Linked DNA regions of Callithrix jacchus. The protein of the gene in region 6 purifies or fractionates together with the protein of the main gene of each other region. This does not show direct contact. Links are inferred from orthologs where the notes say so. Each region holds a gene or a part of one and is shown on either strand. Other genes may lie near its edges. The genes, in order: MAP3K7, TOLLIP, PELI2, IRAK3, PELI3, IRAK1 and STIP1.

The links.
Region 1: the proteins of IRAK1 (region 6) and MAP3K7 purify together in Homo sapiens (affinity purification with western blotting; 5 studies listed by BioGRID). This does not show direct contact. The link is inferred for Callithrix jacchus from reciprocal best matches to the Homo sapiens genes IRAK1 and MAP3K7.
Region 2: the proteins of IRAK1 (region 6) and TOLLIP purify together in Homo sapiens (affinity purification with western blotting; 11 studies listed by BioGRID and IntAct, with this or other methods). This does not show direct contact. The link is inferred for Callithrix jacchus from reciprocal best matches to the Homo sapiens genes IRAK1 and TOLLIP.
Region 3: the proteins of IRAK1 (region 6) and PELI2 purify together in Homo sapiens (affinity purification with western blotting; 7 studies listed by BioGRID and IntAct, with this or other methods). This does not show direct contact. The link is inferred for Callithrix jacchus from reciprocal best matches to the Homo sapiens genes IRAK1 and PELI2.
Region 4: the proteins of IRAK1 (region 6) and IRAK3 purify together in Homo sapiens (co-immunoprecipitation; 3 studies listed by BioGRID and IntAct, with this or other methods). This does not show direct contact. The link is inferred for Callithrix jacchus from reciprocal best matches to the Homo sapiens genes IRAK1 and IRAK3.
Region 5: the proteins of IRAK1 (region 6) and PELI3 purify together in Homo sapiens (affinity purification with western blotting; 7 studies listed by BioGRID and IntAct, with this or other methods). This does not show direct contact. The link is inferred for Callithrix jacchus from reciprocal best matches to the Homo sapiens genes IRAK1 and PELI3.
Region 7: the proteins of IRAK1 (region 6) and STIP1 purify together in Homo sapiens (affinity purification with mass spectrometry; 3 studies listed by BioGRID and IntAct, with this or other methods). This does not show direct contact. The link is inferred for Callithrix jacchus from reciprocal best matches to the Homo sapiens genes IRAK1 and STIP1.

Annotation. Positions count from the first base shown.
Region 1 is NC_133505.1:96,667,375-96,671,389, reverse strand, and holds the start of MAP3K7 (mitogen-activated protein kinase kinase kinase 7), read left to right. Parts: upstream 1-1,215; 5' UTR 1,216-1,424; coding exon 1,425-1,544; intron 1,545-4,015. UniProt on the Homo sapiens protein: Serine/threonine kinase which acts as an essential component of the MAP kinase signal transduction pathway. Plays an important role in the cascades of cellular responses evoked by changes in the environment.
Region 2 is NC_133511.1:130,617,602-130,621,101, forward strand, and holds part of TOLLIP (toll-interacting protein), read left to right. Parts: coding exon 1-52; intron 53-1,259; coding exon 1,260-1,350; intron 1,351-3,500. UniProt on the Homo sapiens protein: Component of the signaling pathway of IL-1 and Toll-like receptors. Inhibits cell activation by microbial products. Recruits IRAK1 to the IL-1 receptor complex. Inhibits IRAK1 phosphorylation and kinase activity.
Region 3 is NC_133509.1:90,773,546-90,777,646, reverse strand, and holds the start of PELI2 (E3 ubiquitin-protein ligase pellino homolog 2), read right to left. Parts: upstream 2,801-4,101; 5' UTR 2,563-2,800; coding exon 2,486-2,562; intron 1-2,485. UniProt on the Homo sapiens protein: E3 ubiquitin ligase catalyzing the covalent attachment of ubiquitin moieties onto substrate proteins. Involved in the TLR and IL-1 signaling pathways via interaction with the complex containing IRAK kinases and TRAF6.
Region 4 is NC_133510.1:53,021,873-53,025,877, reverse strand, and holds the start of IRAK3 (interleukin-1 receptor-associated kinase 3), read left to right. Parts: upstream 1-1,205; 5' UTR 1,206-1,291; coding exon 1,292-1,424; intron 1,425-4,005. UniProt on the Homo sapiens protein: Putative inactive protein kinase which regulates signaling downstream of immune receptors including IL1R and Toll-like receptors.
Region 5 is NC_133511.1:123,543,589-123,547,088, forward strand, and holds part of PELI3 (E3 ubiquitin-protein ligase pellino homolog 3), read left to right. Parts: intron 1-1,287; coding exon 1,288-1,417; intron 1,418-2,483; coding exon 2,484-2,585; intron 2,586-3,500. UniProt on the Homo sapiens protein: E3 ubiquitin ligase catalyzing the covalent attachment of ubiquitin moieties onto substrate proteins. Involved in the TLR and IL-1 signaling pathways via interaction with the complex containing IRAK kinases and TRAF6.
Region 6 is NC_133524.1:149,931,840-149,936,139, forward strand, and holds the start of IRAK1 (interleukin-1 receptor-associated kinase 1), read right to left. Parts: upstream 2,801-4,300; 5' UTR 2,708-2,800; coding exon 2,572-2,707; intron 2,492-2,571; coding exon 2,324-2,491; intron 2,222-2,323; coding exon 2,090-2,221; intron 1,975-2,089; coding exon 1,871-1,974; intron 1,686-1,870; coding exon 1,494-1,685; intron 1,257-1,493; coding exon 1,192-1,256; intron 1,051-1,191; coding exon 936-1,050; intron 1-935.
Region 7 is NC_133511.1:121,249,283-121,252,782, forward strand, and holds part of STIP1 (stress-induced-phosphoprotein 1), read left to right. Parts: coding exon 1-98; intron 99-1,067; coding exon 1,068-1,236; intron 1,237-2,658; coding exon 2,659-2,785; intron 2,786-2,879; coding exon 2,880-2,982; intron 2,983-3,243; coding exon 3,244-3,364; intron 3,365-3,500. UniProt on the Homo sapiens protein: Acts as a co-chaperone for HSP90AA1. Mediates the association of the molecular chaperones HSPA8/HSC70 and HSP90.

The DNA.
Region 1 (4,015 bases), on a different chromosome or scaffold from region 6:
TTTCCCAGGAGTTGGTAACTTCTTGATGGTCAAATCCAATGACCTATTTGCAATCCCAATTGTGTTTAACATAATTCTTTTTTATACAGCATATACTTGGTTGGCTACTTCTTCATTGGAGAGCTTTCCTCTGGTGACATTCCAATTACTATTTTCCTCACTTCCCTCTTTCAGTCTCTTACTGAAACTTAGAATTTGACATTAGCGTGAATCCATCCTTGGTCTTTACATTTTCATTTCTAACTCCAATTTTCCACGGTTAGGCTTTATGTCAAACGGACTAAATAGAGTTCAACAGTTAGTTTAAAACTAAAACTTGTGCTGATAGTACAATATAGGCAATGCTGCCCATTTTGGGGACAAGATTGATCTAGTTTCAGAGGACCATAATTGCTTTAAAGTCTGAGCCTATTTTCTCAAGTCCTGAAAATGGAGATGTAAAAATTTGATTTTCAAGACGACTGTTGATGATTCATTTACCAATCTAAAGCAACAGTGCCCTGCACTCGTAATCCATAACTTGAGATGAATACGCCAAATTATGTCTCTTAATCATCTCCTCCATATAAAGTTGTAACACCAAAATATTAACTTCTGTTCATGAGCACTCAACCTCCACAGTTATTCATGTTGCATAAGCTGATTCGCTCTTTTAGAATCTCTCATAGTGTCAGGGACGAGCTCAAAGTAACAGGTGCAACTGCTTCGTTCCATATCCCACACTGAGGAAAATACATTTCGTAAGCTGTCTTAAAGAAACAGGTCAACTTAGTTTAGGGCTGAAACTTAAAGGTAAGCTTCGTCACAAAAACACATTTCAATACCATCTTGCCTGTCTGCAGGCAGCTAAAAGGAGACGCAGTGAGGCCAAAACATATTTCACGCAGCAGAGACGAAACCCCATCTTTCATCTTTCCCGCTGGTCCTTAAAGGACCAACCGTACTGATTTTCCGTCACGTTCCGCGCCACTTCCGCTCGCGCACTTTAATTACGTTAGGCATCAGCTCTCGCGTTATCATCCGGTTGCTGAGGCCCTGTAATAAAGGTCTCGCGAAATTTGTTCTAGAGGTCCAAGCTTGCTTCTTAGCTTACTCTACCCCACCCCCAACGTGTCCCTCCTTTACTTTCCAAGTCAAAAAAATTTCCCCTCCCATCTCCTCCCCCAGAGTTTACGGCCCGCTTCCTGTTTCCGATTTCAGCCCGGAACCGGAAGTATAGTGGGCGGGGCCCGGCAGCGGAAAACGCAGCGGAGCCAGAGCCGGGACACGGCTGTGGCCGCTGCCCCTACACCCGCCACGGACCGACGGGTGGTAGGAGTGCGCGGCTCCAGGCTGAAGGTCGGTCCGGAGGCGGGTGGGCGCGGGTCTCACCCGGACTGTCCGGGCGGCACCGTTCCCGGGCCACCCGGGCGCCGCGAGGGATCATGTCTACAGCCTCAGCCGCCTCCTCCTCCTCCTCGTCTTCGGCCGGTGAGATGATCGAAGCCCCTTCTCAGGTCCTCAACTTTGAAGAGATAGACTACAAGGAAATCGAGGTGGAAGAGGTGAGCGAGGCCCGGCATGTAGACGCCGGTCCCGGCCCGCCCCGACCCCTCCTCTGCCTGTGCCCCAGAGGTCCTGGCTTTGAAGGTGTCTCCCCGACCCCTCTAATTCGCTGGACCCTAGTGGGTCCACCCGGGAGACCCCACATCCCTCAGTGACGCGGGAGTAGGAGTTACTCTCTGAGCTCAACTGTTCGGGAGTAGCTTTTTTTCCCTCACTTGGGCACTCTTGATTTTGGATTTGATATCCCGGTGATAAACAGGAGAATGAACTGGTGAGATATTGTGGTCCACCAGTTCTCGTATCTGTAAGTAGTAGTTTCAGCGAAGATCGTAGCCGTTCTGGAGTTTCAGTTCGCTGGCCGTAATGTTCTGAATGGTCAAAGATTGTATGATGTTCGACTTCTACCTCAATGCCTGGCATGTAGGGGATGCTCAATAAATGCTTCTTAAATTAATAGATCGTCAAGTCTAATAAAGTGTTTCCCTTGGCACCGAATGGTTCTCAATTTCTCCGATTTAAATGCTCGGCTTCCAGTTGGGTTAATGTAGGTAAATTTCACCATAAGTAACATAGACTGGTCTACGATCAAAATATGTTTCAAGTAGCATACTCTGAAGAGAACGAATGATTACAGTGACAATCAGAATATTAACATTAGACTAGAAATCGCTATCAGAAAACCCATATCCTCTTTATTCTGCAGTAATTTATTTTAGAACCTGTTATTTCAATGTGACTTTAAAGCATTGCTTCTTTTCAAATTAACAGAGAGGTAATTGGGTTCTAATGACTATCAAATTTAGAAAAGTAAAAACTGCGTATATATATTTTAAAGACACTCTAGAATTTGTTAAAAACTTCGGTTTAAAATATCAGCTCTTACCTTTTATTTGCCTTTTTAAAAAATTTTTAAGCACTTTGCGTTTTATATACCATGAAAAACCTAGTGAAATATTATAGATTGTCAACAAGTTGTGTCTACTTTAAAATTATAAAATTATTTTTAAGTATCAGCAAGTTCAAAGTAGTAAGATAACGTTCAACAAATAAATTTTTTTTCCTGTGCATGTTTTGGAAGAGTAGTGGATTACTGGATTATATGTATTTTTATCACATAAAGTAACTTTAAAGATTCATTGAGAACATCCTTATTTTACAAGATAATATGATGGGAAGAGCAAGGTGTTTGGAGTTAGAGGAAAGTTCAGTGTATCAGATACGCCATTTATTAGCTGTGTGATTTGGGGCAAGTTTCCCAACCCCTTTAAATTTTAGTTTACTGTAAGAAAGAGATAATAAATTCTGTTTGATTTTATCTGCATAACACATCATAGTCTTAGACATTATATGCAAAACACCTACCACAGGGCCTGACACATATTAGGAAACCTAGTTCCAGAGAGGAAATGTGACCTGCTTTAAGGTCAAATAGCTAAAAGAAGACCTGAAAAAAGGGAGAAATGTTTTTAGTGTATTTTTTTTTGCGTTAAGGCTATGATAAATTCCTTTTCCAGAAGTGGATAGTTGATCCAGCTTTCATGGCTAATATTCTTTTTTAAGAATAAAAATTCAGTGAGTCAGTATACAAGAATTGCAGTTTTTAAATAAGTGTTTGCGTCTGCTCTGTGGTGAATTGCTTGCTGTGCTTGTAGACTACAAATTGTTATATAATAATAACTTGTGCTTTATGGTCTACTAAATGCTTTCACAAACATTTCATTTGGTTCTTAAAACCTTAGTTTCTGTTTGCTACTTTTTAAGGCTTTTTGCATTCTTGATTCACGGAAAAACAAGTTCTAAGGAGGTAGTTATCATTTTGATGCTTTTCCCTAAAGCTGTTTCACTTCTTGTTAGGTTTGTGTGTTTCCAAGACCCTTCTCTCAGTTTAAATAATGTTTCAACCTTTGTGTGTATGTGGGGGTGTGTGTGTATGTAGGACATTTCTAAGGAGTAGGTTTTTGTTTATAGATGAAAATTTTTTTCTAATGGTAGTCAGTTATTTGGGTTTTTTGTTTTATTCCTTTTCATTTTTAATACTCTGTTCATTTTTGCATAGAAGGTTGAATTTAGACATTTCTGATATTGAAAGCATTACATAATTTCCATCATCTTCATTTGCACATATTAAAGCAATGTTATACAATCCAGGGTGAACCATGGACCCTTATTAGCTCTTTGTCAACTTAGATTACACTTCCAGTAAAATTGTGAGTAAAATAACAGAGGAAGATAGTCAGAAACAAAAACTATTTTATGTTGCTTTCAGTATTTTATGTTGTATAAGAATATTACCTTCTAAATTAAGAAAATCATATTTTGTATTTCTCAATATAATTGAATTGTATTATATCAATATAACTAGAAAGTTAAAAAAAAAACTCAATCACAGGCTGAATATGCAGTCCTTTAATTGATACATATTTCTAAGACATCAGCTGATCTTGCATTTCTAATATTGTAACTCAGTAGT
Region 2 (3,500 bases), on a different chromosome or scaffold from region 6:
GAGGCAGGGGGACGACAAGGAAGGCATGATCAACCTCGTCATGTCCTACGCGGTGAGCTGGGGGCTGGCATTAGGGCGAGTGCGTCGGGCAGGGCGGAGCATTTCGGGGCATGTTGGGGCACATGGGGGCCATGCTGCACAGCGGATGCCCTTGTTTTTTTCCTGCAGGCGCCAAGCCTGTAAACCAGCAGGGCTAGCATTTTGAGGACAGAGGGCAGGGGCCCTGGGGTGGTTTGGTGGCCAAGAAGGGCTGCCCTGCCCACCATGCCTGCGCATGTGTTCCATCTGGAAAAAGAGGGTTGGGGTTGTTTGGTGGTCTCCCCTGCAGGCCCGGGTCCTCGGAGGCCCCCCACAGCCCTGCCAAGCCCTGCCCTTAGAGTCCAGCTGGGCAGCCCTCCAGGGTCTGAGATACAGCCGTGGGCCCTACAGGTTTCGAGGCGCCGGCCAGGACCTGGCAGGGTGTCTCAGTGGAGATGGGTGGGGGGAGTCCGGGGCCTGCTGCCCTCGGGGTCGGAAATCGAGGCCTGGCCATGCCAGGCAGTGGGGCCAGCACACTAGCCACCCTGGCTCCCAGCTGTCTCTGTTCTCAGCACACCTGCAGCTCCTGGGGGCATCAGGAGGGTCAGTTAGAGGATCCTGGACTTGGGGCTCTGCCGCCACCTCTGTATTCTCACACGGGTTTTTAGGTTGTGGTTGTTGGGATGTGGTGCTGTGGTAAACATCAGGCGGATGTGGGCAGAGGCACAGCAGGGAGAGGCTCTTCTGGGCAGTCTGGGCTCCTCCCACCCCCTTTTTGTTAATGCCGGGATATTTTAAAGCAAGTCCAGCCATGAGTGACCCCTCGTAAATGTCTCATGATGCGTCTTTTAATAGACACTTTTATACAAACATAAAACATCATGGCTCTCCAGGGACTTATCTGCAGTTCACATTTGAACTAAACTCAGAGGTGACAGCAGCCCAGTGTGCTTCCCCCAGGCCGACCTGACGCCTGCACTGGGTGTCCCTCCTGACGCCGCACACTCTCGGTCACATCCCAGTTAGCCGGGGGTGGGGGGTGTCTGTGAGTCTCACCGTGTGATGTCACCTCCCGGATGGGAGGAGGTGGAGTGGGGGCCAGGTGTCCCTGAGGACTGTGCACCCAGGTCTCACATCTGGCCTGAGGGCTGGCACGGCGACGGTGATTCTGGAAGTCACGAGGTTCTGATGTGTGTGGTGTGTTGTGTCCTGACCCCGGAACCGTCTCCGCTGTGTTTCAGCTGTTGCCAGCTGCCATGGTGATGCCGCCCCAGCCCGTGGTCCTGATGCCAACGGTGTACCAGCAGGGCGTCGGCTACGTGCCCATCACAGGTGCGTGTGCTCCCTCTTCCCTAGGTGCCTCTCCCCTGAGAAATTCTGGGGGCAGAGGGCGGGCGCAGGAGGAGGGAAGGGGGTTGAGAACTCTAGAATCCTGCAGACATGCTGACTGTCCGCAGACCCTTCAGCCAAGGAGCCAGGCGCTGGATATCTAGAAAATAGAATCTGTCTTTTCATGCAGGTCCTTCAGGCCAGGGAGCCAGGGGTTAACGTCTGAATTTTGTAAATGTTTATAGAAAATAGAATTGGTCTTTTCCTGTTGGCACAAATGCGTTGAAATTGTCAGAGCTGCGGAAAGGTGACTTTGCAGCCCCGTAGTGCCAGCGCTCTGCAGGAGAAACTCACGCTCCTGTCGGGTGACATGTGCCACGCACTGCGCCGTTGCATGCTTCGTCGCTGTTAGGAGTGAGCAGCCGCAGCAGCACCAAGCTGGGATGTCGCTTTTCATGCTGTTGCGTTTTCAGTCCTGCTGTGGCTGTCGCAGCAGCTGGTGCAAGGCCGGCCCCCACTATGGACGGGCCCAGTTCTCCTCAGTAGGCGGGGAGGCCACATCCCCTGAGAGGAGGTACTTGGTGGGGAGCCTGTGGTCATCCTGGTTCTCCTGCTTCGGTGGCCTCTGTCTTGGTCCAGGGAGCTGGTGTCCAAGCAGAGCACTAGTCCCTCTGCAGTGAGGCATGGAGTCCAGAGGCCAAGGCCATGGAAGTGCCAGGTTTCAGGCAGGGCGTTGGGGATGTGTGGTGGTGTGGGGGAGGGGCAGGGCGTTGGGCATGCGTGGTGGTGTGGGGGAGGGTCTTGGGGCCTGCGTGGGGCCCCAGCTCCCTGTGCTGAGGGGCTGCTTTGGGGTCAGGGCGGGATGAGGGGCTTGCAGGCCAGAGTGCCGGGAAGCCGGCGCTGATGTCCAGCCCTGCTGGAGCGGAGACGCCTGGTCCACACCCCAGTCCCGCAGGCATCCCGCACAGATGCAGAAAGGCCACCCTGGGAGTTGGGACCTGGCCTTAGACCCACCCCAACGTGGCGGGAAATGCAGCCGGACTGTGGGAAGGAGGGCACGGCACTGGGAGACTCAGGCTGTCGAGCATTAGGGATGTTCTCGGTCGTTGGGTACCAGCCCCAGCCCTGTACATGGTGCTTAGTTCCGGTGGTGACCGGGGGGTGAGAAGAAATACACAAAGGCGAGAGTCGAGTTTCACAGCCTGGGTCCAGGGGACCAGCGCAGTGGTGGGTGGCTTTGGCTGTGAGCTCCAGGCTCCACACACTTTTATTAGGTGCATTGTTTCATTAATCTTGCAGGCTGAGCTGAGGGGAGGTGAGGGGTAAACCAAAAGCTAATGTGGGGTAAGACAGCCGGGGGACCGTGCAGCATCCAACAGCACATGTGCTGCTTCTAAGAAACACTAACTTAGGATGCGGAGTTTTGCCACCCATGGTTATCAAGGTGCATCTGCATCGGAGCACAGGAGATGAGGCGCCGCCAGGCCTGACCACACGCAGTGCATCAAGGGGCTTCATCTCCCGAGCATGGCCAGCCCAGAGCTATCAGAGTCACTCCATACTCCGAGAACCTAGGTGGAGCCTGTGGCACTCCGGTTATCTCTGCCCTGCAGGGCCTTCCTGCCTTGCAAGCTCCTATCTGCAGTGACCCTCCCAAGTCTTGTGTATGGAGGTGGCATTCCTTCCCAGAGTTCTTGGACAGGCCCTCTTTACGAGACCCTCACGCAGACCCTGTGTTGGGAAGAAATCGTGGGAGCAAAGCGGCATTCCTGCCTCGCACCCACACCGCGGCGTTCCCCGGTTTTAGAGCTCTCACGTGGCCTCTACTGTCGGCCTCCTGTTACTGCTTAGTTTTTCTTCGTACAGGCCTGAAACAGTTTTTATTGTGCTGCACCATAGTTTGGAGTTTTCTTAACTCAGTATTTGATCCGTGGCACGAATCTCAGTGTATAAAAAGCAAAGCAAGCTTGTAATCATTTACCTAGAATAACGTGGGTCTGCCCCTGCCATCTTGGCCCACACTGTGATGAAACTGCTGGTGAGAACCACATGGCCTCGTCCTCCTTGCTCACATCTGCAGACCCTGCTTCCAAGTAAAGCTGCCTGCAGGTGCCAGGGCTGCCTTTCTCGAGAGGAAGAGCAGAGCCCGTGTC
Region 3 (4,101 bases), on a different chromosome or scaffold from region 6:
CTCTGTATTTGACAAGCAAAAGCTTATATGAATATCAAGTATTAGGCATCTTTAGATCTCAGGAATCATCTTACTATTCAGAAAATCTTGAAATTTTCTGTTTTCCAATATTAATATCCCAGAGGACATAAAGATAATATCATAAAGGTGATATTAATTCTATGTGAATGTTATTGTTGTTTTAAGATTGAAGTACACGGTCTCAAGTCCTAAGGGTGGAATATGAATAAGGTTCTTTAAAAAATCTATCAAGTCACTCTTTCACCTGCACTCTTCAATGTGTTCAACATTGCTAAAGAGTCAGAAACCTACTCTCAAAAAAAGAAAACCACCACAATTCAAGTATTCAAAAGCCAGACTAGCATCCTCTACTCACATTTCACATCCTCAGAGAGAACTTCTCTGACCTTCCAGAAGAAAAAAGTAATACTCACCTAAGCAGTCAGTCTCCAAGTCTATCAACTCCTCTTTAGAACTTGGCTACACCTGAAATCGTCACTTATTACTCATCTAGTTGCATGTTTCTGTTTATGCCTGCCATTCCACACTAATATGAAAGCTCCCTGTTCTCACTGCATCAGCAATGCCTCAACAGCACAAACACAGAGTAGATACACAAATGACAGCTGAGTGTCTTGCCCACTAAGTGCCAACTATGCCATACTTCGGTCTCCTGGAAAAGCATTAGCAAAGGGCAGAGCATATGCAACTCCAACGTGATTTCCACAAGCTCCTGTGGAATAAGACTATGATACCACGACAATCCAGTGTTTAAATCCTTTCCGTGGCTTCGGAATGCCCTGCACTTCCAGCTATGAACACAAAACCTCTCCCGGCCCTCTCACTGCTTTTCTGAAACATCTCAACCATGATTTCCTCTAAAGGAAATAATGAAATAAAGTCCTGGCTGACGTTAATCTTCTGCGTCAAGTTCACAGTGTTAAACATACTTTGAAGGCAGCCACACAAACAAAACCAAACTCCACAAAATTAGGTTGGGCTGAAGTTACATAAGACAGACTAAACTGTGGCTTTTCTACTGTCATTCCTCCTGCCTTCCAAGGAACCCTGAGATTTGTCTCTGAAGTGCAGTGAAGATGCAGGTTAGAAAAACACTTATCTGCAAACAGCTTCAAAATAGGTAATGGGATTTCCAATACCACCCCACTTAATGCACTAGCAACAAAGTCAGGAAGACTGGGAGGCTTTGAGCTGCGCGGGGTCTGGAATTTTCTCTTAAAAACTCCTCTCTTTAAAATTATTTTTAAGTCAGCACTGACTTCAAGGCACTCACTTATCAAAACACGTTTTGCAAAGTTCCGAGTCCTCCCACAGTCATGAGTCCTCATCTGTGTGCTAAGCCTACCTATCAGCGCCCAGGATGTTCTGAATACAGGTCTTTTAACGCAGGAGGACAAAAGCGCGGGTTTCCAGGAGCGACACATCCAAAGGGAAAAAAATAATCCTTTCTTCAACACTAAACCCAAGTTGCTCGTTCCCTCCTACCCAGTTTCCTGCACTTCCCCCCTCCTCTTCCCCTTTCACTGCCCACTTTACCCAGCTTTAATCCCGCGAAGCCTCTCTCCTGGCTTATTAAGGGTAAACAATAGAAATGTCACAAGGAAACTCAGCAAGTAGATGAAGTCTCTAATTGCTGCCGTTTAACGATTGTACATAATTACTATCTTCAAAATGCGGCTTTCACCAGCGGAGAGGGAGCCGAGGCGTGCGAGGCTGGCGAGCTCCTCGCCGCCGGGAGGGCATCGGCGAAGCCGGGGGGATGCGGCCCGCGCCCGGGTGCCAGGCCCCGAGCAGCCGCATCCTGGCCCCTCCCCTCCAGGCACTCCGGCAGGGAGAAACGGAGGGCCCGCCGGCTGGCCCGGGTCACACACAGTTCACCGCCCTCAGGCTACCGCGGCCAGCCGAACAATTTGCAGAGCGCAGCCGGGAATCCCACAACCCGCGGCGGCCCAAGCTCACGGAGCCGCGCTCGGAGTTCGGAGGCGCGGTAGCCACGGTCCGCGAGGGAGGTGGGAAGACCGGGCTCCGGGCCGGCCGGCTTCTCGGCTTCGGGAAGCGACCCTGCGAAGTGCCTGCGACGGCTGCGCCTCACCCCGGGTCCTTGCCCGCTCTCCCCAGCCCGGACGCGGAGCGCGGGAAGTGGAGCCCCTGCCCGCCCCCGCCACGGTACGGCCGCGGACCGGGTGCTCGGCGCTGCCCGGGGTCGCCCGAGTCCCGGCCACCACTTCCCCCGCCGCGTCCTCCCCGCGGACAGTGCAGCCCGGCACCCGCCGCAGCGCCCCGAGCGCGCGCCGAAGGGGGGCATCCCACCCCCGCGCCGCCGTCCGGGCCCTGCGAGCCGCTCCCGCCGACCCGAGCGCCCCAGCGGTCCCCGGATAGCGCCGAGCCACCCGCCAGCCCCGCTCAAGGATGCAGGCGCTCCCCGCCCGCCCCCCTGCCTGGGACCAGGGACCCCAGGACTCACCCCAGCACCACCAGCTCCCCGTATTTCACTGGCTCCTTGTTGGGGGCGCAATGCTCCTCCTGGCCAGGGGAAAACATGGAGCCCCGCTCGGCCGCGGACGCCGCCGCCTCCGCCGCGATCCCCGCCGAGTCCGCGCCGCCGCTACAATCCCATCCCGAGAACGGGGTGAGCGCGCCGGGGAAGGGCACCGCGGCAAAGGGGGCGCGGGGCGGCCAGTCCCGCGGCTGCTCCGTCTTGGCTGCGCGGCTGCCCCGCCTGACTTCCCGGAGCTCCGCGCGCCGCGGCCGCCCGGAGTCAGAGCCGGCAACAAATGGGACCAGGCAGCAGGGGGACCTGCCCGCGCCGAGCTCCGCCGCCGAAGCCCCGCGGGAGGGAGGGAAGGGAAGGAGGAGGGAGGCGGCGCACGAGGGGCGGGGGCCGCGCGGGGGAGGCGGGGGCCGGAGCGCGGGCAGGTGGGAGCCGCCCCGCCCCACGTGGAGCCAGTCGCCCGCCCCGGGCCCGCGGGGCCCCCCTCCCCTGGCGCGTGGGGCCGCCCGCGCCCACTCCCCGCCCCCCTCAGCCCGGCGGAGGCTTGGCCCCCGTGTTATGTAAACATAGAGTAAAAGGGAAAGGAAGTTCTTAAAGGAGCAGCTCTATTTTTTTTTCCTCACTTCCTTCCCCAAACTTAGAACGCGGGGTCCTCAGCCCTCGCCGCCGGCCTCTTGAGCCGCGAAGGCCCGCGGGAGATACTGGAAGCGAGCGGCCGCGGGTCCCAAGCCAGCGTTTTCCCGGCTGGAGTTCGACGGGATTAACTTCCTCTCCCGGTAGAAGAGCGCTTTCTCGATGTCGCTGGTTCCCGGCTCTCGTCTGGAAGTGTCGCACACACCCACCTGAGTGCCTCCCCTTCCAGAACCAAATCCTTTGAAGCAGGAAGGCGTCTAGGAAATTAGAGGGTTTTGCCAGTTGGTGCTGGAGCAGAGGACGTTTCGAAGGCGCTTGGAGTACCCCACCGTTGCAACGAATGTAGCTGCCCCAGGTCGTCGTCAGCAGAGCTCCACATGGCTTTGGGGGTGGAAGAGTTGTTTTTTAATCCTCACTCCATTCACTTTCCCTGTGCCTTCTTTCAGTCCCCTAAGACGTTTAAGGGGAAATTGCCTGGGTGGATTTTTTAGTGAATATAAATGTTCCTTTATGACCATGATTTAATCAATGCACTGTTTGCTTTCTGTTCTTTTTAAACTAGTTATTGTTATGGCTTTAAAATACTGTAGACTGTAATAGTTTTACTGACTGCTGTTTTTCATCATACAGGATTTTACTGTTCTAACATGTATTAAGCACTCATAATGTGCCGGAAACACTACATGTTACGGAGAATCACTGCCTCTCAGACTGTTAAATATTTAAGGAAATAAATGCTGCAAAAGCTACCATATGTATAGTGACTGGTTGGCTATGACCCGAAGTGAAGAGCTAGAAAAAATGATAATTGCATCTGTAACCGTGCTTTCCGCTGTGCTGCACCCCTTGTGTAACATTCTCTGACAGGTTATTACGGTAGTGACATGATGTTTCTGGTAATTTTACTTCAGTTAGGGACTGATTTTTTTAAATTGAGACTTTAGAAATAAATTATT
Region 4 (4,005 bases), on a different chromosome or scaffold from region 6:
AGCCTGGGTGAAAGAGTGAGGAAAGGAGGAGTGGAAAGGAGGGGAGGGGAGGGAAGAAGAGTGGAGGGGAGGGAATATGCCTTACCTGACCTAGATAATTTCAAAACAATTTTACTTACACTCTATGTTGAAGGTAAGAAGGAAGATTCTGTGAAGCACTTTGAGGAAGGATAAATGATGGAACAATGTTTCATCAGGGAGGCCCACGAGGAAAAGAATTTCTTAAAACCAAGTAGGTGTATGGAGGAGGGGCCACCTCGTGAGGAAAACGAACATAATTTTACTCTGATTTGGTGTCTCTTCTGTTTTTCTGTTGTTGGTATCTACGTTCATCTTTTCTAATAATTCCATATATGCACATTTTGATCTGTTTCAATGCAGTAAAAGTTGGGAGGAAAATGTGACACACTTTTAGAGTGTCATGGGCTGAGTGGGGTTGTGAGTGATTATCTTCTTTTTTCAGTTTTTTTCCGGGTTTTCCAAGTGTTCCTTGATGAACATGGATCGCTTTTCTGACAGAATAAAAAGGAAATAGGCCGGGCTCAGTAGCTAACGCCCCCAAACGCAGGACTTTAGGAGGCCCAAGGTGGGAGCATAGCTTGAGGCCAGGAGTTCGAAACCATGCTGGGCAACGTATGGAGACTCCCTCTCTATGAAAAAAGACAAATAATAATTATTCGGCCGTAGTGGCCCGCGCCTGTGATCCCAGCTACTCCGGAGGCTGAGGTGGGAGGATCGCTTGAGCCCAGGAGGTGGAGGCTCCAGTGAGCTGAGATCTCATCATTGTGCCACTGTCTGGCAACAGAGCATGACCCTGACTCAAAACAGAGAAAAAAGGAAGAAAATACAGGAAGGAAAGAAGGCATGGAGAAACTTTCAAAAATAAAATTTTGAAAGAAGCGATGACACCTCTGGCCGTCCACGCGAGGAGACTGCCCCCATGGGGCCCTGTGGGCTCCCTAGAGCTCTGAGCTCTGGGCTTTCTCCAGCCCTCACTGGGCTGCTCTCTGCAGCCCTGTACCCACCGCAGAGGCGAGAAGGGGCGCAAAGCCAGCTAAGGGAGAGCTCGGGTCGGGGAGCTCCCAGGCCCGGCCGGGCAACCCCAGGGGTATCTCGGGCGAGGCGCGCCTTGCGTCACGTCGGCACCGCCCTGCGCGGGGTCGAAGCACGGCGTGTTCCAAGGGCTCCGCCGCCGTCGTGGAAGCAGGATTTCCGCGGTTGTGTAAGCGCCGGTCGCGGGCGTGCAGGAGCCTGTGCTCCACCTAGTCCCCGGGGCTCCGGCCGCCGAGCCATGGCGGGGAACTGCGGGGCCCGCCGCGCGCTGTCGGCGCACACGCTGCTGTTCGACCTGCCGCCCGCGCTGCTGGGGGAGCTGTGTGCGGTCCTGGACAGCTGCGACGGCGCGCTGGGCTGGCGCGGTCTGGGTGAGTCGGCGGGGGCCGGCCGGGAGCGGCGAGGGAGCCCACAGCGCCGCGGGGCCGGCTCGGTGCCGCCCTGAAAGGCTCGGGTCGCTCGCGAGGTTGGCGCGGCCTCCGGGAGGTTCCCACCGGGGAGCCGGCCCCCTCCTTTTCCGGGGAGGGCGCAGAGACTCCCTGAGACCCAGATGCTGGCCCTCCCTTTTCTTTTGAAGAGTTTTGGGTATCGCTGCAATGTCAAGGGAGCCGAGGCCTGGGAAAGGCGGATAACCCGCATAAACGCATCTTCTGTTCGTCCGAGATGCCTCCCTCACTGGGTTCGCAATGTGTGATGTCTTCTGGTCCTTGCAAAATCGCCCCAGAGTATGATTTTCGTATTGAGACGTTTTTAGAACTTTCAGATATTTATTCCTTTGGTGTTTTCAATGCATCCCTAAGCCCCTAACTTAATTGCAAGTGAAATGCTAAAGTAAAATACGATTTGCAGTGAACGTGGCTCCTAGTTTTCTTAATTAAATCTATCTTGTTTATTTACCCAATTTGTGGAATGAAGGTTTATGCTAGAGAGCGGCTTTTTATTTTAATCTAAAACATTGGCTTCAAAACTGTGTTTCATGCACACTTTGGAAAGTTTAGCAACTGCCGGCTGGAAGTGTTGAGTGTAGCCAGAGATAATTCAGACAAAATCTTTGTTTTGTTAAGTAGGTATTTTTGGTTAGATTTGACATTCCACAATGTCACTTTTAATGTTTATTGAAAAGAATCATGATTATGTCAAAATAGCTTTAATGGTCCGAAATAGGATTTTTCTTAAAGCAATAGCAGAAGACCTAAGAGGAGAGTTTTCTTTGTTACTGATGAAGAGTATGCTCACAGTCTTTGAATTGTAGCAATGGGCGTCTAGTTATACAAAAGATGTTTGTATATTTTAAGCTCTGTAATTTTAAGGTATAGCCCTTAAGCAAAAAAAAAAAAAAAGTCTCAGAAGAGTGTCCTCTGATTTCTGGAAAACAGATTCCCAGTGTGCATTTGAGGGATTTTGAGGGGTGGGTATCATAAATTAGTGGGGCAGATTATTCATTCTCTCTCTCTTTATCTCATCTCTGTTGATAGCATTGAAATCCAGATATTCATACTTTACACGGTTTATCTCATATAACCCCTCCAATCACGCTGTGAGTCATTATCATCTCCAGTGTTTTTTTGTTTTTGTTTTTTAACAGATCAGGAAACTGTGGTACAAATTGGTTAAATAACTTGTTCAAGTTCACCAGCTGGAAGTGGAAAGCCAAGATCTGGACCAAGGCAGTCTGGATCCAAGGCTTATGTCCTTCACCCCAGCCACTCTGCACTTCTCCCCTTATTGCTTTGCTCTTTTTGTCTGTACCTCCCTAAAGTACAGACATTTCTGGCATCAAAGAATAATTCAGTGAGCCATTTCAGTAATTCAGTCCCATTTTCCTAGTGGTGAAAATAAATGAGGACCACCCAAATGAGAACAAACAAAAGTTGTTTATTCAAAGCAAGGCAGTCAGCCACCATTACTTGAGTTTGGCAGAGACTCAAAAGCAGGCAAAGGATGGAGGAGGGTGGGAGAAGCCTTCAGCTATGTCCTGATTGGAGGCTGTTGATATGGGGAAGCTGTAGCTGAGCTACCCAAAAGGGGAGCATTCTTTGTGTTTGTTTAGGAGTAGATAATTGGCTTTCTCTGGTTGGCCCTAAGTTGGAAGTAGCAGCAAAAATTGAGGAAGCTGTCAGTAATTAATCAAGTCCTGGCCATTTGGGGCAGGTCGCTACAGGGGTTTGTGTTTGGCTGCCTGGGCTAGTTGCTACGGTTTACAATTGCTGACAGTTGAACTTGGTGGATACCGTAGACGGTAGGTTGGCTTCTTGGACGGGTTGATGCACATTGTCTTCAGAGTTCTATTTTTATATATAAGCTGACCATTGTCCCTTTGTGTCATTTTCTCACAGGGAAAGGGTTTAAAATGTTTACTCCATGACACTTCAGCTGTAATTCATTGTGCAGGTGGTCATGCCTAGTGACCACCTGGACTAAGCTGGCCCTGACCGTGTGCTTCACAGTTGTTGGCTCAGCAAGAAGTCAAGGCTAGCCCAGTTCAGGGTGTTGAGGCAACTGTGTGTGCTAAACATGCTGAGTTTTCCTATGGGCACAGTGAAGGGAGAAAGAGGGCAAGAGGTGCAAGTAGGGAAAACTTGACCTTTGCTAGGGGAAGGAGAGTGATGGAGCACTGAATCAAAGAGGCAGACCCTTGTATGCTCAGGACAACTGAGAGCCCACGTTTAAATATAGAAAACAACTGTCATGGTACTAAGTAAAGCTCTCTTGAGCCGATCATGATTCTTGACGATGGTGAATATCAGGCTGTATTTACAAAGGCAGCTCATACAGCAACCTATATGATATGATCAGTGTGTGCAGGATAAGGTAAGCCAATCATTCACAAACCCAAATCACCTATGTAGTCTTTTAAATACACAGATGCTCAGGTCCCACTCCTAGAGCTGCTGATTCGGTAAGTCTGGGTTGAGGGTCTAGCATCTTTCATTTTTTGTCAAGCCCCAGGAG
Region 5 (3,500 bases), on a different chromosome or scaffold from region 6:
TCCTGAGTAGCTGGGATTTCAGGCACCCACCACTCCTGGCTAATGTTTGTATTTTTGGTAGAGATGGGGTTTTACCATGTTGGCCAGGCTGGTCTCAAACTCCTGACTGCAGGCAATCTGCCCGCCTTGGTCCGCCAGAGTGCTGGGATTACAGATATGGGCCACCGCACCCGACCTCATCTGGATTTTAGCAAACTCTCTGGAAGATTCTGATTCCAGCAGCCTTGTCTGTATTTGGCAGCTATTTGTCCTGTCACCTCCTGTTCCCAGACCTTCCTGGCTCTCCACTGCTTACAGAATAACGTCCTCAGCCTGGAGTTCAGAGCCATCTCCCCACCACACTTCACCAACGTCACCATTCCCCAATCTCATTAGACCCTGACAGCCTTGGGGCCTTTGCTTAGGGTGAGCCTCCATCTAGAGGGGCTTCTGCAAGTCTGGAGTGGGACAGACCAGGCTCAAATCTGGACATGTTTACCTACTAGCCTGAGGCAAGTCACTTTATCTACCTGAGCCTTGATTTCTCTCATGTGTAAGATGGGCAGAAAGCCGCTTGCCTGGCAGGCCACTGCACAGATGCCATTAGGTGACTGATAACATGAAGGCCAGGAACACGGGGGCAGCAGCCCATGGCAGCAATGAGAGCTGTGACTCACCCACTCTGTGCCTCTCACAGCCGTCCCTTCCAGACAAGAACTGGAAAGGCAGGTGGAAATTTGACATATATAGACATATGGAGGTAGTGGCATTGTGGGTCATTTTTTCCTTTGATTTTGCTTCCTAGTAGTGGTGTGAGAAGTGACAGTTTGCTACAGGTGAACCCTTTCTAGTTCTTCAAGACCCAGTAGAGGTGTTTCCTCTCCCAGAAACCTGATCCTAGAGCCAGAATTCCCTTTTCTTCTTCTAGGCTTATGGCATCCTTGGCTTGTGTCTGGGTGTGGCAGGTGGCACTTAGGTTCCTGGAGAAGCTGAGGAACCTCTCCACTGAGGGCCCACAACTGACCCCGTGGTGCTCTACTGCCCCCATGCACAGCACCGAACCAGGCATGGCTTGAGTGTCCAGGAAACACTTGGTTAACTGAATGAAAGTGCGTTTGAAACTGTTCTGACACCCCCCGCCCACTCCCCAGTGCACCAGTTTGTTATTGTGGGGCTTCTAGAGCTTGTTTATTAACGTAGGATCTCCCCAGAAGTTGGCAGTTTCCTCCAGGTCTCATCAGGGGTTCACCTTCCCTCTTTCTCTCTCTCCTCTTACAACCCTTTCTTCTTAACTCCCCACATCTATAGCTACAATGGATGTCTGGCAAGTGGGGACAAGGGCCGCCGGCGAAGCCGCCTGGCACTGAGCCGCCGGCCGCATGCCAACGGAGTGAAGCCGGACGTCATGCACCATATCTCCACGCCGCTCGTCTCCAAGGCAAGCAACTGACCCATAGACCTGAGCCGGTCCCGCCCAAGGCCCAGGTCTTTGGCATTCTCAGTCCTACCTGCCCACAGCCCCCCACTGCAACAGGGGAGCCTACTTTGTGTCATCACTCACTGCTTATTGGGCTAGCCGAGAATGGTGATGAGAAATCCTTTGCAGTGTGCATAGTTCTTTACAGTTTGCAAAATGCTTCCTTGACCACTGGACCCCTCTGAACCTTGGCTACCTCTAAGACGATGCTGCTTCTTTCCATCCAGTGGAAATGGAAATGGATGGAAATGAGCTGCACCATTTTAGAGGCAGCTAAGGTTCAGAGAGTGGGAGGCGACAGTCACACTGCAATGGTAAAGGAAAAACATTTGGCTTTAGAGGATTTGGGTTAGAATTCAGCCTCTGATATTTCCAGCTGTGTGCCTTTAGGCTAGTTTCTCTCTGACCTGTAGTTCCTTCAACTGTGAAATGGGAACAATAACCCCATTCTTTTTTGTTTTTGAGACAGAGTCTCGCTCTGTCACCCAGGCTGGAGTCCAGTGGTGTGATCTCGGCTCACTGCAACCTTCACTTCCTGGGTTCAACCCGCCTCAGCCTCCTGAGTAGCTGGGCACCACCACACCTGGCTAATTTTTATATTTTAGTAGAGACAGGGTTTCGCTATGTTGGCCAGACTGGTCTTGAACTCCTGACCTCAAGTGACCTGCCCACCTGGGCCTCCCGAAGTGGTGGGATTACAGGTGTGAGCCACCATGCCCAGACTGGTAACCCCATTTGTGGTCCATCCTCTGGCACCACTGAATATCCTGACCCTCTGACTGTGCCACTGCTCCCTGGTATCCCAGCAGCCTCAGGTAGTTTGGAGGAGGCAATTACTTTGAAATTCTTAGGGTGACTGTAGGGTTTAAATCACATGAAACAGCCACTGCACTGTCCACCCTCTGCAAAGGATGGAGCTGCCCACTTCCCAGGGAGTGGCTGCTGGGCCTTGAGCTCCAGCTGCCGGCTCGAGGCATACCCTTATCATGGCTGCACACCCTGGCAAGTGACTTTTTTCTCCCCTCAGGCACTGAGTAACCGTGGCCAGCACAGCATCTCGTACACACTGTCCCGGAGCCACTCAGTCATAGTGGAGTATACACATGATAGTGACACAGACATGTTCCAGGTATGCTCAGGCCTCTCCACACACCTCCTGGCCACCAGGCCTCTAGGCTCTGCAAGCATCTCAGGTGAGGCTACAGTATGGGAGGCCATGGGGAAGTTGCTTCTCTTCAGACGAGGAAGCAGGATGTCCCAGTGTGGGCTGCTGACTGCAGAGTCATACAGCAAGTCAGCGGCTGTATCAGGGCTCAAACTCAAGACTCCCAGACTGTGGGAGGTCACATAGCTCAGGAGTTCAGGTGTGAGAGGCTAATGTGTGGTTCAGATTTTGGCTCCATCACTTAAGTTCATTTTTCTTTTTTTTGAGATGGAGTCTTGCTCTCATCACACAGACTGGAGTACAGTGGCGGACTCTTGGCTCACTGCAACCTCTGCTCCCTGGGTTGAAGTGATTCTCCTTCCTCAGCCTCCTGAGTAGCTGGGATTATAGGCATGCGCCACCACGCCTGGCTAGTTTTTGAATTTTTAGTGGAGACAGGGTTTCGCCATGTTGGCCTTGATCTCCTGACCTCAGGTGATCCACCCGCCTTGGCCTCCCAAAGTGTTAGAATTACAGGCATGAGCCACCTTGCCCACCTATTGTCACTGAAGTTCTCTGGGCCTTGGTTTACTCATCTGTAAAATGACGCCCTTAATAGTACCCACCCCACGGGAAGATTAACTTAGGCATTGCACATAAAATGCTTAGCATGGTGGCTGGCCTATGGCAAATAGTTACTCAGAATTCACTATCTGCTGCTAACATTTGAGCAGCAGATATTATTATTATATTATTATTAATTATTATCCTGTTGGCAAATCAACCGGTATTTATTGAGTGGGGTGATCCCCAGCGCTGGGGGCAACAGAGGAGGAGAAGCTCCAGGCCATGGCTTCTTGTACTTGGAGACCCATCTGGGAACCTAGAGGGCCTAAGGAG
Region 6 (4,300 bases):
GTTCTTGATCCCAACCATCCTTCTGCCTGTCACTGTGCAGCCTGGAATGAGCCACTTGACTCTCTAGGCCTGTCTCCTCCTGGGAGACAAGGAGCAAAATCTCCATGACTTGCACTTCTTAAGCACGTGCAGACTAAGCCACCCTGGCTGCTTGGCAAAGCACTCAAGGCCGGGCAGTGGCTAGGGACATGTTCTTGGCATTCGAGATAGAATCTGCTGGGCTGTGGCTCCCAGGACTCATCCCTTTGTCCCTGGGTGATTGGGAAGTCCTCGAAGGCATCTCCCCACTCTCCCCAAACACAGCAAGCTGGAAGAGGCAAGGGGGCTCTCCCCTCTGTGTGCCCGCAGGGCCCTCCCTCAGCAGTGGGGGGTCCAGCTGACAGCCCCAGCCCCCTTGCCTCTGGGGCTTACCAACGAGACCCTCAGGCTGCCCTGCTTGCGAACTCGAGAGACCTGGGAAAGAGTTCTATAGAAAACGGTAGTCCCAGCCAGGCAAGGTGGCTCACGCGTGTAATCCCAGCACGTTGGGAGGCTGAGGCAGGTGGACTACCTGAGGTCAGGAGTTGAAGACCAGCCTGGCCAACATGGCAAAACTCTGTCTCTACTAAAAATACAAAAATTAGCCAGGCATGGTGGTGCGTGCCTGTAGTCCTAGCTACTTGGGAGACTGAGGTAGGAGGATTGATTGAACCCGGGAGATGGAGGTTGTAGTGAGCTGAGATCGCGCCACTGCACTCCAGCCTGGGCGACAGAGTGAGACTCTGTCTCCAAAACAAGAGAAAAAGTGACCCTGCTGTGGGGAGCTGGCAGTGCAGGCCCGGCCTGCTGGAGGACCCGCTCACACAAACAAAAAGCCCCAGGCCCTGTGCCCAGCTCCAGCCAGGTGTCAGGAGTGCTTCAGGTCCTGGGAAGCGCACCAGGCCCAGGGAGCCGACCTGGCAGTGGAGACGGTCCTCCAGGGAGCCGTTGGGCAGGAAGCCATACACCAGGCAGTAGAAGCCATTCTGAGCACAGTAGCCGGCAAAGTCCACAATGTTCGGGTGACGAAACCTGTTTGAAGAAGAGGAGCCTTACGGAAGATGCCAGACCGGGCAGCCCCGCATGGGGCCTCAGGCGCCCAAGGGAGCAAGGTGCTGTGATGTGCAGTCTGGAGCCCCACAGGACCTGGTGCGGCTCCTGATCTGGCCTCACCTGGACAGCTGCTCCACCTCAGTCAGGAAGCTCTGCTTCACCGCACTCCACTCCAGGCCTGCATCCTGCAGCCCCCAGGGTGCGGTGGGGGAGGGGCAGGGAAGACGGGTGGCGTGAGGCTAAGTGAAGGCCTTTGGGCCTCCAATGCCACTTGCCCCAGGCCCAGAACATCGGAGGGGCTAGGGACCCTGTGCTGGAATGAGGGCTGAAAGGACCTGTGGCGAGGCCAGGGGAAAGGCTGGAGAAGTCAGTGAGGGTTGTCTGATGGCCTTCCAGGGTCCCTGCCAGGGTGCGACACTCACCTCCTTCAGCCTCTTCACAGCATACACTGTGTTCCTCATCACCGCCCGGTACACGCACCCAAAGCCACCCTCCCCGATCTTGAGCTCCTCTGAGAAGTCGTGGGTGCCCTGGGATATCTCACAGAGAGGCCAGCAGAATGGAGAGGGGTGGGCTCCCTGCAGGAGGGACACTGAGCTCTCTGAGCTCTCTGGCTGTGGGAAGAGAGCCTGGATCAGGTAGGGTCCCTGTATCCTCCCTTCTGCCCAAGGCTGCAGGCTCTCCCCACCACGGCTGCCTCCCAGCTGACCCAGCTTGGCTGACTGGGGCTGCGGTGTGCCAAAGGCTGAGTTTCTTCCTCCTTGCCTCGAATCTTCCCTGGAGGGCAGGGGACACCTACCTTGGTAGAGGAAGGGGCTGGAGATGGCAGTGGAGACCGCAGGGAAGCAGGGCTGGGGACCAGGCCGAGTTCAGGCCCTGAATGGGTTTGGGAACCTGGAAAAGCTTCATAAAGACACCAGTGAGAGGCAGGCAGAGAGCAGCAGCGGGGTCTACAGCCGTGGCAGTCAAGGTGGGCCCTTCTTCGGGTCCATCGAGTCCAACAACCTGGCCCTCTTACCTGGGGAGAGGAGGGTGGAGGCTGAGGACGGCAACTTCCGGGGACTACAGGCCTCTGTCTCGGCGGGTGCAGGGATGCAGCTGGGCCTCGGGGCAGTGGTGCTTGGGGATGGAAGCGGGGCGGGAGGGTGCCCTGCGACGCCAAGTTAGGAAAGGAACGTTGAGGCCCGGGTGGGGCAGCCCCGTGGGAATCGCCGGTCCCCCAGCCGTGGGGTGCCCGGAGTCCCGCGCTCACAGGCTGTGATGATGTCCCGCGCGCGGAGCAGCTGCAGGTGCGTGAGGATGTGCACGAGGTCGGCCACACGGGCGTTGCGGTTGATCCAGGGCCACAGGACGCTGGCCGTGCGCTGCCCGGAGCGCTCGCACAGCCGCAGCTCGGTCTGGTCGCGCACGATCAGGGCGGCTGCGGGGCGGGGGGCGTCAGGCGTCGGCGCCGGGAGCCCGCGCGCCCCCCGCTCCCCGCGGCCGCCCGCGGCCACCCACCGAACTGGCACCAGTCGGCGGGCTCCAGGGCGTCCATCACTTTGTAGAAGCGGCACATGACCCAGGGCGGCACCTCGTACAAGAAGTGCTGGGCGCCGGGGGCTGCGGGCTCTCCCGGGCCCGGCCCCCCGGCCATGGCCGCCGCCGCCGCCGGGCCGGGGCCTGTCGGGGCCTCTCAGGGCCGCGGCAGGCGCGGGCCTGGGCCGGCCGGGTCCGCGGACACTGACTCACTTCCCCTTCGAGCCGGCCTCGTGGGACGCCCGGCGGGGCGGAAGAGGCGGTGCCCGGGCCCGCCGCCATCTTGCACGCTGCGGCCGCTCGCTCGACCACACGGGGGCGCCCCGCACCGGAGAGGGCCCCCCCGCGCCGGAGAGGGCCCAGGTCCCAGCGCGTTCCACGCGCGGCGATCGGCGCGAGGCCGGGCGCGCCCGGGCGGGGCTCTGGAGGACAAACGGCGGCTTCTGGCCACACGTTGCTGCCCTGTCCCTCATTTGCAAGGGTGAGCGCAAGCAGCTGTGGTGAAGGTTTCCTGGGCATCGTCCTCGAGGACCTGTCTAGACTGCCACCCCCCGGTCTCCACAAGCAGAAAGGCAGACTTTACTCTTGTTTCTGCAGCTGGATGTCTCCTCCAGCGACAGTTCCTGTTGCCGTCTTGATCTTGACAGCGAAGGGGTTCCCCACCCCTAGCCTTACACACTTAGAACTTTTCCTAGAAACGAAGTCTGCCCAAGGCCCACAGCTGGCCCCTGTTGGAGTCTTCCCAAAAGCCACCACCATGGTGGCCCCACTCAAGATGACAACCATACCCTAAACCCCGTGGCTTCTCATTGGGGACAGGCTTTATGAGATGCAGCAAATCAAGTATCTGAACTGACCACGCACACCCATGCTAACCTCCACGGAGGGACTTGGTCTTACACACGAAGGCCCGTCAGCTCCTGGAACAGGACTGGCGCACAAGATGCTCAATGCATACAAGTTGAATGTTCAACTCTGGGATCTACTGTTCAAGGCCAGGCCTTCAGAGGGTACCTTCTGGTAGGTGTGCCCACATGTGCATGTGAATCTGGACTCTGAGCAGTTGTCTCCTCCAGCCCCTTACCAACCTAGTGAGGCCACTCCTGAGAGCCAAGGAAGCCAGTGACAAGGAGGCCCCTTTGGGCAATCCCCTCAGCCTGGCCTTGCCTGGTCAGAGAACCAGGTTAGCAGTCAGCGGAGGGCATGTGAGGGTCTTGGCAGGAATGACACAGGAGGAGCTACCACCTGTGGGGTACGTATGTCCAAAAGCACCACAGCACATTCAGACCTAGGGGTGCCCCTACCATATGGGTCAAGAGCAGGGAGGTCGTGCTGCAGGCTGACTCATGCTAGGCCCTTCCCGTCACACGCTGCAGCAGTGTGCCTGGAAAGCACTGGTGTGGAAGAAGTTGAGGGGCCGAGAGGCCAGCATATGAAGCAGGGTCCCTCGGCCTCTCATGGCAGGCCTGAAGGCAGTTATCTGTGTCCAGGGACGGCCAGATCCAATGAGGAAATGCAGCATCACACTGTCATGTGAGCTGGAGGGGGACTTCTGTCTTATAATGAAAGCCCAGACCTTGAGTCACTTTCACAGAGAGATTTATCGAGAATGCTAACAGCACAGGATACAGTACTTCCCAACAAAAGGTGCAAACGCGTCACTTAGAAAGGCATGCTGAGTATTCTTTGCTTTCACATGTATTAAAAATCT
Region 7 (3,500 bases), on a different chromosome or scaffold from region 6:
AAGTTGGAGAATGATCCCAGGACAAGGACACTGCTCAGTGATCCCACCTACCGGGAGCTGGTAGAGCAGCTGCGAAATAAGCCTTCTGATCTGGGCACGTAAGTGGATGCCTCTCATTGAGGTTCTGGCAATGGGGGGAATGTTAGGTTGTCTTCCTGTAACTTCACGGCAGAGGGTTCCCTGGTCTGAATGGCAGAGTTCCTGCCTTTGCTTATTCTCTGCAGAGCAGTAGGGGGTGATTGTTTATTTGTAATTATAGAAGGGGTCGGGGGAGCACATATCACTGTAATCTAGAATGTTCCTTGTAGTCCAGATACACCTCTTGCCTGGTCTCCTAGAACTCTGATCTAGCATCAACCCCATCCTTTCCATCTACTTAGGTCCTGCTGTCTCTATTGGTATATGGGAGTGGAAACAGGGTTGCAGTTCATCTGTAAAGCTGTGTCTAAGTCTTGTAAATGGTATCCGTCTCTATCTCAGTCATCTGGCCCCTGAGATCAGCTAGGGAAGTATACCTGTAACAACTCATTCCTCTGTGTCTGCCAGCCTTGAGGAATAAACTTGACCTCTGTTACTTCATTTCTTTTTTTTTTTTTTTTTTTTGAGATGGAGTCTCACTCTGTCACCCAGGCTGGAGTGCAGTGGCATGATCTCGGTTCACTGCAATCTCCACCTCCTGGGTTCAAGCGATTCTCCTGCCTCAGCCTCCCTAGTAGCTGGGATTACAGGTACACACCACCACATCCAGCTAATTTTTGTATTTTTAGTAGAAACGGGGTTTCACCAAGTTGGCTAGGCTGATCTCCAACTTCAGACCTCAAGTGGTCCGCCTGCCTGGGGCTCCGAAAAGCTGTGAGCCACTGTGCCCGGCCATCTGTGACTTCATTTTATTTTTTATTTTTTTGACTTTATTTTAGATGGATGGTGTTTTGAAGGTTTGCATATCCGCTAGTTGTAGCTCATGAGTGGCGCCAAATCTAGATCTGACTTTGATACTGTAGGAGTTAAACACTGATTGTGGGGAGGAGTAATTGCAATATTTCTTTCTTTTTTTAAATCAATACTAGGAAACTACAAGATCCCCGGATCATGACCACTCTCAGTGTCCTCCTTGGGGTTGATCTGGGCAGTATGGATGAGGAGGAAGAGGTTGCAACACCTCCGCCACCACCACCTCCCAAAAAGGAGACCAAGCCAGAGCCAATGGAAGAAGATCTTCCAGAGAATAAGAAGCAGGTCTCGTTGTTTGCCTCCTCACGGTCATACATTTATGAACAACTAGAAATCTTTATGTTAAATGGGAACATCTGTTGACCTTGAATGACCATGAGTATTAATATTATTATTATTATTTTAGAGGTCTCACTATGTTTCCCAGGTTGGTCTTGAACTCCTGGGAAACACAGCGCTTCTGCTTTTCAGCTAGGATTACAGTCATGAGCCAGTGTGCCCAGCTGTAACTATTTTGAGTACTTTAGTATATGCTAAGCTTATGGCTATTATTCATTAGAATGGTCAGCATGTTAAAAGATCAGCTTCAGGCTGGGCACAGTGGCTCACACCTATAATCTCAGCACTTTGGGAGGCTGAGGTGGGTGGATCACCTGAGGTCTGGAGTTCAAGACCAGCCTGGCCAACATAGGGAAACCCTGTCTCTACTAAAAATACATTAGCCGAGTGTTGTGGCGTGCGCCTGTAGTCCCAGGTACTTGGGAGGCTGAGGCAGAGGAACTGCTTGAACCCGGGAGGCGGAGGTTGCAGTGAGCCAAGATTGTGTCACTGCACTCCAGACTGGGCAAAAGAATAGGACTCCGTCTCAAAAAAAAAAAAAAATCAACTTCCCAAGAGATTTCCTAGGAGTAACATATAGCGAAGACAGCAACGCTGCCAGTGTGTGAATGTTGGTCAGAGCAGGACTGGAAAGTTGTGAGCAATTCAGGTCCTTGCCATGATCCAGAAGAGCATTGTCCACATCAGTCCCTCAGCATTCACTTCCTGGCTGGACGTGGCGTGTGGTTGCAAGTGTCCGCTAAGCAGCACTCCTGGAGCAGAAGGCATGTGCCTCAACAATTTCATTTTCCTCCTTGTAAACTGGAGCAGCAGATTGTTGCTAAATTTAGCACCTTGAAATGGGTGAGTGTTGGTTGTTCAGGGTGTCTCGGCTGGAAAAAGGCCCTCCAGTGTGGGCGGTAGTGAGTTCTGCTGAAGACTCGTGCCACTCATCCCCTTCTCCCCATCTTCTCACCACCCCCTCTGCTGTGGTTCACTGAAGCTAAGACCCTGAGGCAGCCATACAACCAAAACGAGATCTGCTGCAGCCTCTCAGAATAAAGCCTGGTCCAAAACTGTACTGTCCTCACCAGTTGCTTTAAGTTGAAGGGATTTCTTCTCCCCTAAAGAAGCCCTCTGCTTCCTGACAAAGATCCAGGATAGTAGGTGGGAAAGGGGGAGTTTCAGAGCAAGCAAAGACGAAGGTGTCATTCTAATGGCTGATAAATGGCTATTGTCTATAACTGATGAAGAGGTCTTCTGGAGAACTTGCTAGAATTCTATATATATTAATTGTATTTTAGAACTTGTGACAGATCAGAGATTCTTGCTGTCTTTGTCACCAGAGTTAGATTTGCTCAGCACTCACTTCTTCTAAACTTCACGTAGGCACTGAAAGAAAAAGAGCTGGGGAACGATGCCTACAAGAAGAAAGACTTTGACACAGCCTTGAAGCATTACGACAAAGCAAAGGAGCTGGACCCTACCAACATGACTTACATTACCAATCAAGCAGGTGAGGCCTAAAACAAGGGGCAGGGAAGTTGTTGGGTGTCTCTGAGGGAAGGAGCAAGGACTGACTGTTCCTTTTTAACCATCCTGCCTGACAGCGGTATACTTTGAAAAGGGTGACTACGATAAGTGTCGGGAGCTTTGTGAGAAGGCCATTGAAGTGGGGAGAGAAAACCGAGAAGACTATCGACAGATTGCCAAGTATGCTCAACCTTCCAGAATACCTTGAGTAGCACGGAGGGTTTGCTGTCCAAGACTTCAGTTTCCCTGCATGGGGAGGAGGGCTCCTGGCTATAAAATCTGCTGTGTTAAGAAAGGGCTGGCAAGAAGGTCACCGGAGCCAAGACAAAAGGTGTTGAAAGGCAGTGCTGCGGGCCTTTCTAGTTGCAGGTGTGTTTTCTCTGCAGGAGCTGACCTTATCTCTTTGTCCTAAGCAATACTTGTCCCTGTTTTCTTTATCAGAGCTTATGCTCGAATTGGCAACTCCTACTTCAAAGAAGAAAAGTACAAGGATGCCATCCATTTCTATAACAAGTCTCTGGCAGAGCACCGAACCCCAGATGTGCTCAAGAAATGCCAGCAGGTGGGTAGGAAAAGAATAGGGGTGTTTCCTAATAATTAAGCTGTTGTTTCTTACTGTTTTATTTATTTAATGATGAATTTGACCTTTCTTTTTTTTTTTTGGGATGGAGTCTCGCTCTCGTCGCCCGTGCTGTAGT